2 linked regions of the Callithrix jacchus genome follow. The protein of the gene in region 2 interacts with the protein of the main gene of each other region in a pairwise test. Links are inferred from orthologs where the notes say so. Each region holds a gene or a part of one and is shown on either strand. Other genes may lie near its edges.

Region 1 (10,151 bases), on a different chromosome or scaffold from region 2:
ACATGGAAATACAAAAAGTACAGTCTTTGCCCTCATGGAGCTTTCCATCTATAATGGAAGGCAACATGCAATGACTGAAGTACAGAACAGAATTCAAAGTGCCATATAACAGATGAACCAGCAGAGGCCCATGAGAGGGGAAAAGTAAGATTCCAAATGGGAAAATGGAGGACTTCTGGGAAGAGCTCACTCAGTTGAATCCTTGAAAGAAAATCTGGACAACCTGAGAAGGGATTCTAGAATGAAGAAACAATTTAATAGACAGGTATGAAAGACTTTTTTTCCCCCTACAACATTCCTGACACCAGTAGGCGAGCATGGATTACTATCCTCATCTTAGAGATGCAAAACAGACAAACAGGGCAGATTAAGTGACTAGCTTAAGGCATCACAGTGGGGAAATAACTCGATAAGAACTTGCATGTTCTGACTCTTAGTCTAGATTTTTCCATAAATCCCCTCCTAGGGTAGAAATTGAAAGAACAGAATCTAAGAGACAAGAAATTGAAAAAGATTAACTTTAAACTCTCTACTAGCCATCTATTAACCCTATCCACCCAGTAGGGTTTTATTTACAAATTTTACAGTAACAGCCTAACTAAACAGACACATGGGTTTGTAAAAATTCTCCTGAGTCCCGCTCACACACAAAAAAAGACAGGAACCCATTCAATTAGTGTGAATAATGGCTGCTGTCCTCTGTCTGCAGTGACATAAGGAACTCCAATCCAGGGCCTGGTGCGGTGGCTCACGCCAGTAATCCCAGCACTTGGGAGGCCGAGGCCAGTGGATCACGAGGACAGGAGTTCAAGATGAGCCTGACCAACATGGAGAAACGCCGTCTCTATTAAAAATACAAAAATTAGCCGGGTGTGGTGGTGCCTGTAGTCCCAACTACTCAGGAGGTTGAAGCAGAAGAATCACTTGGGAGGTGGAGGTTGTAGTGAGCAGAGGTGGTAGTGAGCCGAGACTGCACCACCCAAGCTGGTTAACAGAGCGAAACTCTGTCTCAAAAATAAAGAACTCCAATCCATGAATATCCAAATGATTAAATGAGAAACAGAAGACCAAAGACAAGAAAAAAAAGAAAAAAAAAGAAAAAAAGCATACATCAATGTTACCACTGTTAATGAAAAGTCTGTCTACCATTAATCTTTTTTTTTTTTTACTGCTAAATCAAAACAAGGTAACTTCTTGAGCATTATTAAAAAAAAAAAAAAGAAGAAGAAGAAAGAAAGAAAATTAGATGATGTCCCTGAATCTGGTCCACAGCAAATGCAAAAGTTCTGGTACAAAGATGTAATGAAACCTCATGCTTAATAAATCAGGAAAGCAATTATGGGAATCTATAGCCCACATTTCTTAAAAAGTACCCAAAAGCCTTCCTATACTTGTATATAAGATACATCAAAATAAACTGAAGCAAAGTCACTATTAGTCATTTCCAATAACAATGACTAAACTGTCTAAAGAAATCAAATTGTTCATTAAAAGTTCAAAGAGCAAAAACAGTATTGATTAAATTTTATCTCTACCTGCTTCTAAATATCTCCTGTAGAGATACTTAGATACAGCAAGAAGCAAATTTTTAAAAAGGCACAAAGAATTCCTTGTTATTCACTAGCTGGATAATAATCAGCTTCTGAATTCTGAATTGATGACCATTAGGAACATCTCTGAAACCATGCAGATGAATGAAATATAACATAATCCCAAGGAATTTCCAGAATGGTTTCAATCTCTTCTACTAAATCATTTTCCAGAGCTGCTAACAATTAGAAAATGATTTATTTGCTTTTCATCTTCTCTCCCTTCTGGCATAGTCTCCAGTGGAGGGCTTAATGAGAAGTTAAATGACCACAAGATAGGCAGCAGAAGGAAGATCTTGAAATGGGCATCAAATAGGCCTGTTTTACTAGATGAAGGCAAAGAAATATCTAATGTTTCAGAAAATCTGCCAGAAATGGTAACAAATGAAAAATGAAAAAAACTTTCCTTTACAGTGACTTTCCTTACTAAAACTAATGATGGTTTTGAAAGACAGCAAATGCAACCAAGCACAAACAGCCATAAAGATCAAAGAAGTCTCTGACTCTGTAAAATCAGTTCACCTGAAAAGATTTAACCTTTGACGCAAATAAAATTCCTGTGAAAACACCACCGACCATTCCCCAAAGAATATAAAGCAGTGCTGAAAATTCACCCATGTTTAAGCTTCAAAAGTTATTATGACTAATGTATAAATTCTGACAGTGTCATGTTAGCAGGTAATTAAGCTTAAGAAAACACATACTGAAGAATTTATAGAAGCCTTAAAAGAAAGTATTAATTTTCTAAAGTAGCATATCTGAAGAATACATAATTCAGTAAGTTAATAGCTTAAAAAGTAACCTAAGAACCCTTAAATGCAATTCTCCCTACCACTGTGGAACTGCAATTACAGGCTTACTGGTTATGATGAACTAACTTAACAAAAATATTCTGAGTTTATCATTTCTGCTATAGACTAAGAATTCTCCAGGGCCAAAGTCCTAATCCTATATAACAACTTACATGTTGCAATATAAACCTCCAAACTTCAATGAATAATAAAAACCTCCAACTACTACCTTCCCAGAGTTTCCAGGCAGCCCTTTAAAATGCTTTTCTACTGAAACGTTTTTGTGTCTGGCATTCAGAAAAGACTCAATAAACTCCCTCTTTCTATACTTACCTTCAAAATTGCCTTTGTACTGAGTTTTGCTCTTCTCGAAATGTGGGAGTTTGAAAGTGAAATACTTTTTATAGTAACTGGTTCAGTGACATCTAAAGGAGTCTTTGGGGTTAACATTCACACACAGGCCAGCACAAGTAGCCAGGCATACAAGGATAATGTGATTATGGTGTTAGATTATCCTTAACCATATGACTGCAGGAAAAGTAATCATTTTCTCTTTCTCCCCTCTCAACCATGTGGTCTAGAAAAGAGGAGCTATAGGTTGAAAAGTGACCTAATATTAAAAAAAACTGTCATAGATAGTCACAAAATCATAACACTCCTCTTAACTCAGTTTCCACAAGAAAAAACAGGATAATACCACCTTCTCAAAAGTAATTACACCATTTAGGCACAAAAGAAAGGCAAAAATTGGCCTCTAAGAGTAACACAACAATACAAAGAAGAGAACAGTTCCCTGGGAGGTCCTGTAATCGAATTCTGCTCCATTACTGATTATGAGACCCTGAGAAAATCACTCTATGCCCAACTTCTTCTTTGGGGAAATGGAGAAAATGAGTGAAATCACGAATATAAAACCATCTGCAAATTGGCAAGTATTAAATATGAAAACACTAGTGGCAGCAGTATAAACAAAATTTCTATGTTAACATGAGAAACTTGAGTGTGAACACAAGTAATTTAGAGCACTGGCCTGGAGACAGGGCAAATATAGAGAAGGCAGCCTCTTAATTTGCTTCAAATCTCCCCAGGTGCTCCTTTTCCCAGAGCTCCAGAAGGGAGAAGTACATACAGGTAAAGGGGGGTGCCTAGCTTTTCCAGAGATCACCAGACATCTGAGCTCTTGATCTCAGAAGGAACTTATTTAAAGCATGACTCAGGATTATCTCCAAGGTAAAGCTGAATCCCAGTAAATACATGTACTCCATTTTAAATGGACCCCAAATATCAAAATCCAAACACACTGAAGGATTCATAGGGTTCACCCTAAGAGCCCTTTAAGTAGTGATACTTGGGTTAAAATATGATTTATGAAAATTCAAATCACAAAACTTAGGAATAGCATCCATGACTACCCTGACCGCTGCATCCTTCATATCTAAGGCAAATCACAAAATCAAATATCAATATGGACTGATGGTTTTCCGCCAAAGAGAAAATTCTCTCAACCTACCAACACTGCTGACAAAAACATTTTCCTTTTCCTAGCTACACATTTGTTCATTTGAAAACATCTCAATCTTGGGCTCAGGACTGTGTCACATGCTGTCCCCAAGCTGCTTTCCTATCCCAGGATGATTCAAGTAATAGGGCATTCGTGACAGCGAAAAAAAGAACATGCCAGGGGGATATGGAGAGATACTTGGGCTACTCCAAATCTGCTTAGCGAGCCGGGTCATCCCGGGCCACTTTGCCACCCAAACCTCCTTTATCACAAAGTCCTAAAATTGGATCCATCAACTTGTTCTAGAACTGGTATACTTGAACAGAAACATGATAACTTCAGCAGAATATCCAAACAGGATCTCTGTCACGTTTCATTTCCCCGTCCCACCCCCAGACACAGCCTCCACCGTCAGCCCAGCAGGTGCTGCAGGGGCTCCCCATTACCACGGTCATTTATCACCTTGACATCAAGCATTAAAAATGCCACCACACACACAAATCTAAGCTTAAAGAACTCAGCTGCAATCTGAGTGTCTCTTCAGGGCAGAAAAGCCCACAGGCAGGGTTTAGAGCCCTGCCTCACGTTTTAAACTAGGGCAATTGGTGGCTAATAAGCGCCATCTCCCAAAATCAATCATCTGCGAGCACACCCCGAATGTCCCCGTCTGGGCTACGCTTCGCTGTTGCCCCGCCAGCAAAGCCCCCGCAACCCGACCCCGCCAGGGGTAGGGCGGGCGATGCTCCGGGCCCGGACGAGGGGCGCGCCGAAATCGCGCGTCCCCGCCGGGCGGGCCCCGGAACCCCCGCCCAGGCCCGACCGCGGGCACCTCCGCCGCGGGCTCGTGCCAGCCCCTGGACGCACGGTCCCCTCAGCGCGGCCCCGCCGCCGCCCGATTCCAGGCTCCCCCGGCCAGAACCTCCTCAGCCCAGCTCCCCTGCCCGCTCGGCTCAGGCATGTCCGGAAACCCGGCCCTTCCAAGCCCCGGCCCCGCAAGCCCAGCGCCAGCCCCACTCACTGCGCGGCGGCGGCCGGGCCGGGAGCTGCCCGCGGCCGGAGAACGCGAGCGCAGGGACGAGCGAGCCCGCGCCCGGCGACGGCGGTGGCGGCGGCGGCGGCAGAGGGGACGACTGAGCCCGCGCCCGGAGTTGCGGCTCCAGCTGCCCGGCGCGGGCGGCGCCTTCCCAGCAGAGCCTAGGCGCCACGAGCGCGGGCGCCCCCTACCGGCGGCGCGGGCGGGAAGCCAAAGGGACCGGCGGCCGGGGGAACTCAGCTAGCGCACCCGGAGCCGCGTGGTTAAGACCACACCACCGCAGCCCCGAAGCCCCGCCCCGAAGCCCCAGTCCGGTCCCCTAGGCTCCGCCCCTAAACCCCGCCCCTACGTCCAGCCTCCGCCCACATTCTGGGGTCCGCCCAGCCACAAGCCCACTGCGTCCTCAGGGCTGGTGTCGCGCAGCGTTTCTCCTCAATCATTTCACGAACTTGTATGGGGCCCCACTATATCTCAGGCCTGGGGGTTTAGGAGATACAGCGCCCACCAAGACGGAGGCGGGTTCTAATGGAAGGACAAGACAGACAAAACTCAAGGTAACAGCTAGTAGACAAAATAATGACAGGTTATGATCATAAGTGTTGGAAGGGGAGTGATTAGAGGATTTGATGGAGCAGAAGGGAAGGGGACCCCTGCTTCAAACGCAGTGGCCAAGGAAGACCTGGACCCGGACCTGCGGCCAGAGCCCCTCCTGCCTGCCCTGCATTGAGGAGACTGCTTCTATGAGAGCTGTGAGGAAGCCTCCGGGGCCACCCATCCGGCTTGGAGGGCAGAACAGTAAAGAGCAGCCGGGCCCAGAGGCTCTGCAATATGGGCAGCCAAGTGGAGAGGAGGGCAGAGCCACCACAGCAGACAAAACGACCAGTGCAAAGGCTCTGGGGCCTGGAGGAGCTCCGCGCTAGACAAGGCTGGCGCCGGTATTGTCCCCACTTCACCAGGAAGGAGGCCAAGGCTTCAGAGGATGGGCAGCTCCTAAGGCCTTAGGGCTCATTGGTCTCCATGAGTCCACTTGTTCCAAGTCCCATTCGCTTCCTGCTAGCTAGGTCGCGGTCCCCTTCCGGTGAAGCCAGTTCCCTGATGGTGGGTTTGCTGTTTCCGCTTCTCCACCAGAATAACCACTGGCCTTAGAAACTCACTCGGGTTTCACATCTGCATGTGTGTGAGCTGGCTCTGGGGCTGAAATTCTTATCAGCATCATCACAGTCATATTTGATACTTGATTTTTCTCCAAAAACTCAAATTGATAGGTTAAATAAATGACATATGCTTCATCAACATAACTGAGTGCTACATTATCAACTTCACAAGACTAGGGGAGAATACAGGGAAATGTGTGTGAAAATAATCAGTACACAAACTAGTATACATGATATAATCCTGATTTTATTTTTTAAAACATAAATATACACAGACAAAAATTTTGAGGGAAATACATCAAACCATTGATCATCATGTTGAAGATAATAGTATGGGAATGTTAATGACATTGCTTCTTAGTGTTCTTCTGCATTTTCATGAATATTGAATTTATAATCAGAACACATGACTATTGAATTTATAATTAAAAAATACGAGTTTTGGTTTGTTTGTTTTTTTGCACCCCACCCCACCCCACCTCACTCCGGCTTTTATTATTTTTTTTAAACAGGAGGACAATACCAAAATTACCCAATACTCAGACTTCCAGAATTTGGTACCACTGAAAATCCAGAATTGTCTCTGACTTACTGAGTGTCCTTGAAAGAGTCATTTCCCCTCTCAGGGCTTCTATCCCCCAAATAAAAACTGATGGATTAATTCTGTTGGTGTTTTTGTCAGACTTAGTCCTTCCTATCTTAACAATTTTTAGAACTATTGTTAATTGTACCTTCAAATTTTTCTTTTATAATTGACAGATGGCTATTGAAATGCAGTTGAGCCGGGCACAGTGGCTCATGCCTGTAATCCCAGCACTTTGGGAAGCCGAGGCGGGCATATCACGAGGTCAAGAGATCGAGACCATACTGGCCAACATGGTGAAACCCCGTCTCTACTAAAAATACAAAAAAATTAGCTGGGCATGGTGGTGTGCACCTGTAGTCCCAGCTACTTGGGAGGCTGAGGCAGGAAAATTGCTTGAACCCAGGAGGCGGAGGTTGCAGTGAGACAAGGTCGCGCCACTGCATCCCAGCCTGGTGCCTGGTGACAGAGTGAGACTGTCTCAAAAAAAGAGAAAGAAAAGAAAAGAAAGAAAGAAAGAAAGAAAGAAAGAAAGAAAGAAAGAAAGAAAGAAAGAAAGAAAAGAAAGAAGGAAAGAAATGCAGTTGGTTTTTATGTAATCTTATAGCCAGCAAAATTAAACTCTTTTTCAGTTCTATTAAGTGTGTAGGTTCTCTTGAATTCGCAGTGCAAATAATCATAGAGTCTGTAAGTCATGACAGTGCGGTATCTTCCTGTCCTTTTTTTCCTTTTTCTTGCTGCACTGTGGTGACTAAATTCTCCCACACAATGTTGAAAAGCAGTGATGGTATGGCCACTTCTATCCTGGTTTTGACTGCTTCTAACATATCACTGTTAACTGCAGTGTTTGTTGTGGATTTTTTGATAGACATTCTTTATGAGGGTTAGGAAGCACTATTCTTCTTTACTGTCAATGGGTGCTGAATTTTATCAATGTGAGATTCTCCCCATTGCAATGCAATGAATTACATGGATTGTATTATACTATATTAAATAAGATATATTATTGTATCTTATGATATTAAGCTATCCATGTATTCCCAGGCTAAACTCGCCTTGATGATATATTTTTTAAGTCAATATATTTTTATTAAAGGAATTTCACATGTCATGATGTATTACTTTTTCAATATACTGCTAGATTCCATTTGCTAATATTTTACTTAGGGTCTTCATGTCCATATGAATGACTGAGATACGCTATTATTTTCCATTCTTATTCTTTCCTCATCTGGCTTTGCTATCAAAGTTCCATGAGCCTCACAACATACCTGAGTGTCTATTCACTAGACTGGGATTTTTCTGTAGTTTGCATGTTCTATAGGCGTCTCCTGTAAACCATCTGGATCTGTTGGTTTCGGGGATTGGGGGTGGAGAGGGTTTACATTGGAAGCTGTTTCTGTCCAACACCATCCCCTCTTCTCCAGGTGCCCCACTCCATGGACTGGCTCAGCCACCTCCATCAGTTCCATTACTGTGTCTGAGCTGAAGGCTTCCAAACCCGTGACTCCAGCCCAGCCCTTTCTCCTGAATCCAGAGCTATAGATCTCACCTATTCTATAGCCCCAACTCTGTGCAAGGCACTGTGCCAGGTACTTTTACCTTCTGTATCAGTTACCTTTTGCCCCATATTGCTCAGGGTTGCAAGCCTGCAAGGGAAGGCTGGCTTCTGGCTTACAGCTGCCCCTAGCCCTCTGCACCTTTCTTTTCCAGGTGGCCACCAAGCATCCAGGCTCCTGTGGTAAAGAGACTGATCCTGGTCTGCCCTGGGCTAGGCTGGCCTGGAGGGGGCTGTTCATTATCAGATCTACACCTGTTATAGGAAGGAACCAAGCCTGGTACAGTGCTGGGAGGGCAAAGGGGGACCAGCAGTTGACAAAACTGATCCGTAGGAATGAAGCCTGGAGTTCTGAGTCCCCTCCCTGTCTCCCTCCTTCCTCTCCCAACTCTCACTGCCTAGTGGACCTCACCTCCTACTTGTCAGGAAAACCTTTCTCCTTCTGTGGGAGCTCCCTGGACCCCTCCTTCTTCTCTAGCTCCTCCTCGTAGACTTACAGAGATGCTCCTATTGTTTTACCCTGGACACTTATACCCAAGTTTCTGTCTAACACCTTCCCCTCCTCTCCATGTGCCCCTCTCCATGGACCGGCTCAGCCACCTCCATCAATTCCATTACTGTGTCTGAGCCAAAGGCTTCTAAACCTGTGACTCCAGCCCAGCCCTCTCTCCTGAATCCAGAGCTATAGATCTCACCTAGTCTATAGCCCCAACTCTGTGCAAGGCTTTTACCCTCTGTATCAGTTACCCTTTGCCACATAACAAATAATCCCAAATGGTGGGGTCTTAAACTTCCAAGTTCTATCCCCTCAGTTTCTGTGGGTCAGGAACTTGGAAGCAGCTCAGGGTCTGACAGGAGCTTGCAGTCCTGAGGGCGGTAGGGGCTGCAGTCATCTGAAGCCTGGAGACTTCGCTCCCAAACTCACTCACGTGGCGTTCAGCACAAGGCATTCATTCCTCATCATGAGAGTCTCTCCTGATAACATGGCAGTTGACATCCCCCAGAGCAAGTGACCAAGAGAGAGCAAGGTAGAAGCCAAAATGTCGTTTATAACCCAGCCTCAAAAGCGACACACATGTTATTATGGACCTACAGATAAACCATACTACCGTGTGGGGGGTCACCACAAGGCGGGAACCAGGAGGCTGTGGCCACACCCTCATGACAGCTCTGGCTCCCCCCACAGGACAGATAAGAAGGGGAAGGCACAGAGAGGTGAAGTTATTGATCCAGGCTATATGGCTAAGGGTGGGAGGAGAGAATGGAATGTGGCTCTGCCGGCTTCCCTCAGTTTCCTTCTCCCACAGCCCATCGATCCCAGGTCCACCACCAGTCTCCTCACCCTCAGCATGTACAAACCTGAACCCTCCGCACCACCCCCAAACCTCCCAAGTCCCCAGCTCAGCTCGGCAAATGGCGCCTCCGTCCTCCCATCTGCCCAGACCAGAAGCTTTGAGTCATGCCTGCTCCTCCCTCCCCCTCACTTCCCAGTGCCAGAGAACCCAGCCCTGCCAAGTCTTCCCCCTCAGTGCAGCCTGGATCCTTCTCTCCTTCTCCCTCTTCATCTCCAACACCATCAAGCGAGGCCAAGCCACTGATGTGTCCATCCCGGGCACCTGCAGCAGCCCCTCCTCCTGGTGTTCCCCATTCCCTCTGCCCCTACACTGCCCATCAGTCCTCTCTCTCCAGCATGAGTCAGCTCTAAGAACACAAAGCTGTGTGTCACCTTGCCTGCTTTACACTCCTTCTGTGACACCTGCTGCCTTCAGGATCCAGTTCAAACTCCCTCCAGTGTGGTCTGGCCCCTGCCCACTGGTCCTTCCCTCTCCCCTCTTCTCACTCTCTTGGCTCAACCTCTCTGGCCACATTTCAGGTCCTGGGACCCACTGCTCATCTTTTCACTTCAAGGCCTTCCATGTGCTGTTCCCTTGACCTAGACCTC
Region 2 (8,319 bases):
ACTGTGAAGCCCAGCTCCGGAGCACAGAGTAAGTGGAACCCCTTGAGCTGCTCTTCCTTAACCTTTCCAGGGAGACCACGGTTTCCTGCCACCCACTAGGACAGCCCCTGCTGTCTCCTCTCCTGGAAAGCCTTTCCCGACTGTCTGCAGGCCACAGTCCCCTCAGCTCAAGTAAAGGTGTCCCTGGCCGAGCCCCGGTTACCAAGACTCCATGACTGGAGGGCGGGTGTGCTCCTGCTGCTCACCTGGCAGCAGCTTTCACAGCAACCAGGTCCTACCAGGGCAGGGAGCCTGCCCGCTTTCCCTTTGCCAGGGCTGCACACAGCCGCTTCACACTGGTTATAAATGAGGCTGGGCAGGTGCGGTGGCTAACACCAGCAACCCTAGCACTTTGGGAGACCGAGGCACACAGATCATTTGAGGTCAGAAGTTCAAGACCAGCCCGGCCAATATGGTAAAACTCCACCTCTACTAAAAATACCAAAATTAGCCAGGCATGCTGGCAGGCACCTCTAGTCCAGCTACTGGGGAGGCTGAGGCAGCAGAATGGCTTGAACCTGGGAGGTACAGGTTGCAGTGAGCTGAGATCTCGCCACTGCACTGTAACCTGGGCAAGAATGAGACTCTGTGCCAGGCACAGTGGCTCACGCCTGTAATCCCAGCACTTTGGGAGGCTGAGACGGGTGGATCACAAGGTCAAGAGATCGAGACTATCCTGGTCAACAAGGTGAAACACCGTCTCTACTAAAAATACAAAAATTAGCTGGGCATGGTGGCGCATGCCTGTAATCCCAGCTACTCGGGAGGCTGAGGCAGGAGAATTGCCTGAACCCAGGAGGCGGAGGTTGCAGTGAGCCGAGATTGAGCCATTGCACTCCAGCCTGGGTAACAAGAGCGAAACTCCGTCTCAAAAAAAAAAAGAATGAGACTCTGTCTCAAAAAACAAACAACCAAAAAACCCCCACAAAATTTGGTGGTAGGTGCCTGATCCCAGCTACCCAAGAGGCTGAGGCAAGAGAATCACTTGGACCTGGGAGGTGGAGGTCACAGTGAACTGAAATCACACACTCCAGCCTGGGCGACAGAGTGAGACTCCATCTCAAAAACATGAATAAATAAAATATAGTAAGAGGCTAGACGCAGTGGCTGAAGCCTGTAATCTCAACACTTAGGGAGGCTGAGGTGGAAGGATCACTTGAGCACAGAAGTTCAAGCCCAGCCTGGGTAAGAGTGCGACCCCATCTATAAAAAGTTTCAAAATTAACCAGGAACTGTGGCATGCGTCTGTAATCCCAGCTTGAAACCAGGAGTTTGAGGCCGTAGTGAGCTATGATTACATCACTGTACTCCAGCCTGGGCGACAGAGGCCTCATCTCTAAAAAACACCAGTAACAGGACCCAGTTATTGGGTGCTGACGCGAGCCCTGTGCTAAGTGCTTTCTGCGCGTTCTTTCCAGCCCTGGGTGCCTGGGCGTAGCTGTGGAGGCTCGGAAAGGCGAGGCAACCGGCCTGAGGTGCCAGCGCAACCTTGGTCAGCCTGCGCTGAGATCTTCAGGTGTCGGCTGCCACACCGTCTGCTATCAAAGCGACTGAGGTTCTCCAGGGGGTTGGTGAGAAAGGAACAGGGGAGGGAGTGCGCCCCGGAGGCGAAGCTCTTTTCCCCAAACTCCGAAGCTCTGACTATTCTAGTTGCCCCAGCTGTTTGAAAAATGATCACTCCCCAAGGACAGATCTTGATAATGTGCTTTTTAATTGCACTCTCTTCAAAAAAGTATCTCCTTTCTCAGTTAAAATAAAAAAGACAAGGCATGAAGACCTGCTCTAACCCATCCAGGGCGGTGAGCTCCATCCTGGAGGAGGCCGGGCCAGGCTTCTTCCGAGGCCCCTCCCTGGGCAGTCGAGCACCGGGTGGGCGGCAGGGAAGGCTCTCCCTGCCACAACCCCTAACCCCCATCCCAGCCCTTCAGAAGGCCTGGACTTCAACGTCCCTTCAGTGGGAAGCCACGTTGGGCACACGCTATCATTCAGGTAGACATGAGGCCACTCTTCTCGCCCTTGACCTTGAGGAACTCTGCCATGCTGGAGAAATACTTCTGATTGGCCTCAGCCACCTTCTTCTCCGCGGCCTGTGGGTTCACAATCTCCAGGCCCTAGGCAGGTGAGGGAGAGAGGATGATGTGTTGGGCAAGGAGAAGGCCCCAACTGACACGCCAGAGCCCCCCAGGCCTTTCCCCGTGGTACTCAGGCCTTGGGTGGGCATGGGACAGTTTGCCAGTCCCTGGAGTCGCCCTGCCTTGGAAGATTCTGCCTCAGTGGGTCTGGGGGGAGAGGGTGGGGAGAAACCAGGGCACCTAGGTTTTTAACAAGTTCCCCAGGGGCTGCTAAAAACACCAGTGCCTGAGGACAGCCAATCCTGCTCAGTTTCTGGATGAGGAAACTGAGTCTCTGGGGGATGTGGCTGGCTGGAGGTCCCAGCACAAATCACACCAACACTACTGATGATCACAGTGTCCAGCGATAGACGCCGGCACCTGGCTGGAACTTCCTAAATATTTTCAAGGCCTGGGCAACAGAGCGAGACTCTGTCTCTAAAGAAAATAATAACAGGCTGGGCGCGGTGGCTCAAGCCTGTAATTCCAGCACTTTGGGAGGCCAAGGTGGGTGGATCACAAGGTCAAGAGATCAAGATCATCCTGGCCAACATGGTGAGACCCAGTCCCTAATAAAAATACAAAAATTAGCTGGGTATGGTGGCAGGCGCCTGTAATCCCAGCTACTCAGGAGGCTGAGGCAGGAGAATTGCTTGAATCCAGGAGGCGGAGGTTGCAGTGAGCCAAGATTGCACCACTGCACTCCAGCCTGGCGACAGAGTCAGACTCCGTCTCAAAAAAAAAAAAAAAAAAGAAAGAAAAGAGAAAATAAGCACAGGACCTGTCATCAGGCTCCACCAGCAAGTGCAGGACCAAGTGCCTTCTGTGCACTCCTTTTTCAGAACTGAACACCTCATAACATGGGAGTGGAGGCAGGGAAAGGTGAGGCCCTCCCTGGCTGTGCTAGGACGAAGGCCTCCCTGTCCCACCTCCCACGTCCTTCCCTCCCTGGTATTTCTGCCTTTTACCACACTGGGCATCTTACTGATCTGTCTGTGCCCAGCCACCCACAGGCTCCAGGAAGGCAAGACTTGTCTCTCTCATTCACCGCTTCACCCCCAGAGCCGAGAGCACCGACAGCCGCTGTCTGAGCAGATGAGCTCCCCACTGTCCCACAGCCACGGTGCAGGCTCGCCCTGCTCTGTGGATGGCAAACCGCGGTGCCGATGGTGCGGTGACTGCCGTGCTCCAAGCCACTCACTGCTGACTGGGCTGGGGGCCAGACCCACACGTGACACCCAAGCCCACCTAGCTGGGAACTGTTTCGAGTGGGGTCCTGAGGTTACCTTAACCACTCTAGCCATTTCAAACTGAGGTCCTAGAGGCTGAGCAATGTAACCCGTTCATGGCCCCACAGAGAAAAACAGGGTCCCTGGGATGTAGCCCCGGTCCCCGCTCATGAGGACTGTTGTGCGCCTCTCGTCTCTGCTAACCTCGAGCACTTGCTGTGTGCCAGGGGCTGCCGATGCCTTTGGCATGTCTTCACCACACCCCCCGTGACAGCCCTGTAAGGGGACTCATTGTGGCCTGTTCACAGGGGCAGAGGGCAAGGGGCCTTGCCAGCATCTTGGGGCTGGGGACAGAGCTGGCCCAGGGCAAGTACCTGGAGTGGGGTGAAAGCCACGCTGGAGGCCGTGCCCGACGAGCGGTCGCGGATGGTGGACTTCCCGCCATATACCACGCTCTGCTTCTGCAGGGTCCGCTGTGGGAAGGACAGGGAGGCTGTTATCTGGGCTCACCCTACCTTGCGTCCCTCGGTCCCTGGCCCCACCCAGGTCGGCACATACCTGCAGCGTCTTGGAGATCCTGGCCTTGGTGGCCTCGTTGACCTGTGTCTGCCGCACGCGCCCACTGCCCGACTTGCCCAGGTGGCCCAGGCTGAATCCCAGGTCCTCCTGGTAGGCGTCCTCCTCGATCTAGGGGGAAAGGGAAGCCCCTGCCGTCAGGGACCAGACCCCGCCCTCCAGCCACTCAGGCACCCCCTCCACCAGCTAGAAGCCCCGCGGTCACCAGCTGGCTGGCCCCATGGGCACCTGCTCGGGTACCCACTCGGCCCAGCTGAGGCCTGGGGGCCCCTACAAGCCGGGGATGCTGGGGAGCCTGAAAGGGGCTGGGTCCCGGCGCTGCTCTGTGAGCTCAGAGTTGAGAGGCCTTCCTTATGCATGTGGGTTGGGGGGTGTCTGGAACCAGAACAGGTTCCACAGGATGAGGTGGCCTCTGAGCTGGGTCTTGCAGGACCAAGGGGATGACACTGGGATAACGGAGGAGACGGGGCTCACGGAGGGAGGGGCCGTGCAGAGGGCAGGAGAAACTGGCCGAGGAGCCTGGGGTGATGGGAAGCAGCAGGGACTCTGAGGGTGACAAGGGTCACTTTGGGGCTGAATGGATAGAAACCAGAGTAGAGGCCAGGATCGTGCCCTAGACATGAGCCAGGGCCACAGGGCAGAGAGGAGGGAAGGCGGTGGGAGGCAGGGGGCGGCGGCGGCTGCCTGTGGCCGTGAGTTCTCCTCATGGCTTCAGCGCTAGGGGCATCTAACCTCTCCGAAGCTCATGCGGTTAGCCTGTTTCCGGATCTCGGTCAGCCCCAGCCGCTCCTTCATCTTGCGGTACCTGGGTGGGCAGGCGGTGCCAGGGAGTCAGCTGGGGGGACACCGGCTCCTCCACTCCACGACCCCCATGCCTACTGGACCCCCAGGGGCTCTCACCTGCGGCCACCTCGCTTCTTCCGCTGCCCATCCAGGGGCGCAGGCAGTGGTTTCACCTGCTTCACAGGCGGCGGCTCCTGCCACTTGTCAAACTTGCGCTCGATCTCGTCCTTGAGTTCGTAGCCCACCTAGGGAGGGTGAGAGCAAGGGGTGGGTCCTGCTGCTGCTCACGTGGGCTGCCCACCCAGGCCTCCTGTGTCCGCTGTCTGCCTGTCCTCTGCCTGTCCACCCGAGCAGACTGCTCACCCCAGCGCTCCTTCCTTGCTCCGGGGCCCCGGAGGATCTCATCTGCTCTCTGGGTTTTCAGATCTGTCTACAATCTGATGCCCTCATCTTGGCTCAGACCCCTCCTCTGGGTTCTGTACCCTGTAAACAACTGTCTACTTGACACTGGGATTGTTAACAGCCCTTCAAATGTACCAGGGCCAAGCAGAATTCCTGCTCCTCCTCCCCAGCCTTCCACCCTCCACCTTCATTCTCCTCGGGTAAGCGATCAGCAACTCTGAGAGCCGGCAGCCGACTCCACTGTTCCTCTCCGCACCGCAGATCCCAGATCTTTCAGAACAATTCCAAACTGGCCCCCCAGGCCCTCCGCTGCCGCCAGAGTTCTCCTCGGGGCGCACAAGGCTCCACCAGGGCCTCCCTCTCTCCTCCAGGGCTCTTGGCGCTCCTGCCTCAGGGCCTTTGCACCGACCGACCACTACCCGTACTGGGAAGACTCTCTCCAGAGAACCCACGTGCCTTGCTCCCTGACTTCATTCAGGTCTGTGTTAAACCCTCACCTCCTCAGAGCTCTAAGTCCCCCCGACTTCCAGTTAAACCAGCACCTAATGTCTCCCCACCCCAATCACCTGCCTTTTTCTTCTTTTTTTTTTTTGAGATGGAGTCTTACTCTGTCACCAGGCTGGAGCGCAGTGGCGCAATCTCAGCTCACTGCAACCTCTGCCTGATTTCAAGCGATTCTTCCGCCTCAGCCTCCCGAGTAGCTGGGACCACAGGCGCGTGCCACCACGCCCAGCTAATTTTTGTATTTTTAGTAGAGACGGGGTTTCACCATGGCCAGGATGGTCTCGATCTCTTGACCTCGTGATCCACCCGCCTCGGCCTCCCAAAGTGCTGGGATTACAGGCGTGAGCCACTGCGCCCGGCCGCGTTTTTCTTCTTGATGTTTACCTAGTCCTACTAGGCACAGGACAGATTGCCCCTGTGGACTGTCTCCCAACCCGGCCCCAGTGAGAGTATCCACGCCATGGGACAGGGCTCTGTCTGCGCTACTCACAGCTGCATTCCCTACACCCAGGCCGGGGGTGAGACGGAGAGAGGGAAAGGAGGAGGGGGAGATGGAACACCTGATTGCCGAGCCAGGCGGGGTGCTTGGCAAGCAACAGTTCACAAGACAGAAAACATGTCTCCTCTCCCGAGTACATCTACCAAGGAGACAGAAGTGAACTGAATAATTACTTGAATAGTATCCCCTGTTGGAGGGGGACAGATCCTGGTGCGGAAGGCAAACTATGCCCCCACCAACACACACATGCCCCAGGAGGTCCGTGTTCTAACTCCCAGAACCTGTGAATGTCACCTCAGGGCAAAAGGGACGTGAAGAGGTTAAGGAGTTTAAGGAGTGTGAGCTCGGAAGACTATCCTGGACCATGTGAGCAGGCTCAGTATAGCCACAAGGGCCCTTAAAATAGATGGGGAAAGACAGAGGCCAAGATCTGAAGACAGAAGCAGGGTGAGATAGGTCTGAGGGTGCCGCGCAGCTGGCTCGCAAAGGAAGAAGGGCCACGAGCTAAGGGATGCCGGCGACCCCTAGCAGCTGGAAAAGGCAAGGAGTCCCCCAGAAGGAAGCCTCTGGGCTGACACCCTGACTTCAGCCCAATGAAACCCATTTTGGACTTCCGACCTACAGATGGTAAACCTGTGCTGATTTTTTTTTAGATGGAGTCTCACTCTGTCACCTAGGCTGGAGTGCAATAGTGGAATCTCAGCTCACTGCAACCTCTGCCTCCTGGGTCTAAGCGATTCTCCTGCCTGTTTCCAGAGTAACTGGGATTACAGGTGCGCACCCCATGCCTGACTAATTTTTGTATCTATAATAGAGACGTGGTTTCACCATGTTGGCCAGGCTGGTCTCGAACTCCTGACCTTGTGATCTGCCTGCCTTGGCCTCCCAAAGTGCTGGGATTACAGGCATGAGCCAACTTGCCCAGCCAAACCTGTGCTGTTTTAAGCCAGTAGGTTTGTGCTACCTTCCTATAGCAGCCCTAGGGAATGAACACACTGGGGAAGGGGCGCCTGACCCCAGGGAGGGTCAGCAGAAACACTGCCTCTGCCCTGGTAGGACAGTGCTTGTTGGGGTGAGCTCCCTGCTGGGGCTCTCCCCGCACAGACACCCCAGGCCCAGAGGAAAGGACGCCCGGCCGCCCCCTCCTTCCCCTCCTCACCTTCCCCTCCGTGCTCTCATGGAAACTGTCTACGCGGGCTGCCAGCGTGCACTTAGCAGCCACCAGCCGGGCCGCTTTCCGCCGGAGATCCTGGAGCAATGGAAAACGGGAATAGAATCTGTGTGAGACAGACAGACAGACATAACTGCACACCAACAGTGGGTGCTTCTCATCTGGCTCCACTGCAGGCTCTAGAGGTGTATGCTCTTAGCTCCCTCTTCACAGAAGAGGGGATGAGGGCAGGGTGCAGAGCCACGTCTGGGCTGGTGAGCGGCAGAGTCAGGTAAGGACACCAGCTGGGAGTGCACTCAGCCTGGATACCAGCTCCGTGCTAAGTGTGCCCTTTGGGCCATCTCATCGAATACTCAAACATCGGGCTGCTGTGATCACTGCACCCCCTTTTCAGGTGTGGACACCAAGGCTCCAAGTCACATCGCTAGCGACACAGCCGGGAGGTGATGGAGCCAGGGTTCCGATCCAGACTGCAAACAGAGCCCAAGCTCTCAGCCACAGCGACGCGATGGCCAGCCCTGGCCTCCCTTACAGGCCTGTGATGTCTACATCCTGTGCCTGGACCGATCTGGGATGGGAAGATGAGGCGGCAGAGGCCCTGTGTGACAAGACACCAGGCTCCCTGGGGCAGGTTTAACCCACAGCCTAGGGCTGTGAGGCAGTGGTGATGGCCTTATGAGGTGGCTGGAGCCCCGAGCCTCAGGCCCACCACTCCTGGGTTCTAAAGCCCACTCTCCCTTCTCCCAGGATGGGGTGACCCACCAGCACCCCTGGGGGTGTGTTCCAATAGCAGTGCCTGACCTAAAGGGTCACAGAAAAGACCAAAAAAACAACCCCACACAGGGCAGGAGGGGGGCCTTGGCCATCGGTGCTGTTGTTCTCTGCGACCCCGAGGGAGGCCGGGCAGGGCACAGGGCCATGAGCCTGAGGTCACTTGCTGCAACCGGACAGAGCAGGATCTGGACCCAGGCCTGTCTGCCCCAGAGCCTGTCCTGCCTGTTTTTG

What was found.
Region 1: the proteins of PRPF31 (region 2) and KCTD6 interact in binary tests that used the Homo sapiens proteins (3 or more experiments, as listed by UniProt). The two-hybrid records come from large-scale screens. The link is inferred for Callithrix jacchus from reciprocal best matches to the Homo sapiens genes PRPF31 and KCTD6.

The regions. Positions count from the first base shown.
Region 1 is NC_133516.1:40,273,646-40,283,796, reverse strand, and holds the start of KCTD6 (BTB/POZ domain-containing protein KCTD6), read right to left. Parts: upstream 5,153-10,151; 5' UTR 4,900-5,152; intron 2,958-4,899; exon of another isoform or gene 2,714-2,957; intron 1-2,713. UniProt on the Homo sapiens protein: Probable substrate-specific adapter of a BCR (BTB-CUL3-RBX1) E3 ubiquitin-protein ligase complex mediating the ubiquitination and subsequent proteasomal degradation of target proteins.
Region 2 is NC_133523.1:47,309,020-47,317,338, reverse strand, and holds the end of PRPF31 (U4/U6 small nuclear ribonucleoprotein Prp31), read right to left. Parts: intron 7,393-8,319; coding exon 7,303-7,392; intron 4,984-7,302; coding exon 4,856-4,983; intron 4,761-4,855; coding exon 4,688-4,760; intron 4,067-4,687; coding exon 3,938-4,066; intron 3,853-3,937; coding exon 3,754-3,852; intron 2,151-3,753; coding exon 2,025-2,150; 3' UTR 1,732-2,024; downstream 1-1,731. UniProt on the Homo sapiens protein: Involved in pre-mRNA splicing as component of the spliceosome. Required for the assembly of the U4/U5/U6 tri-snRNP complex, one of the building blocks of the spliceosome.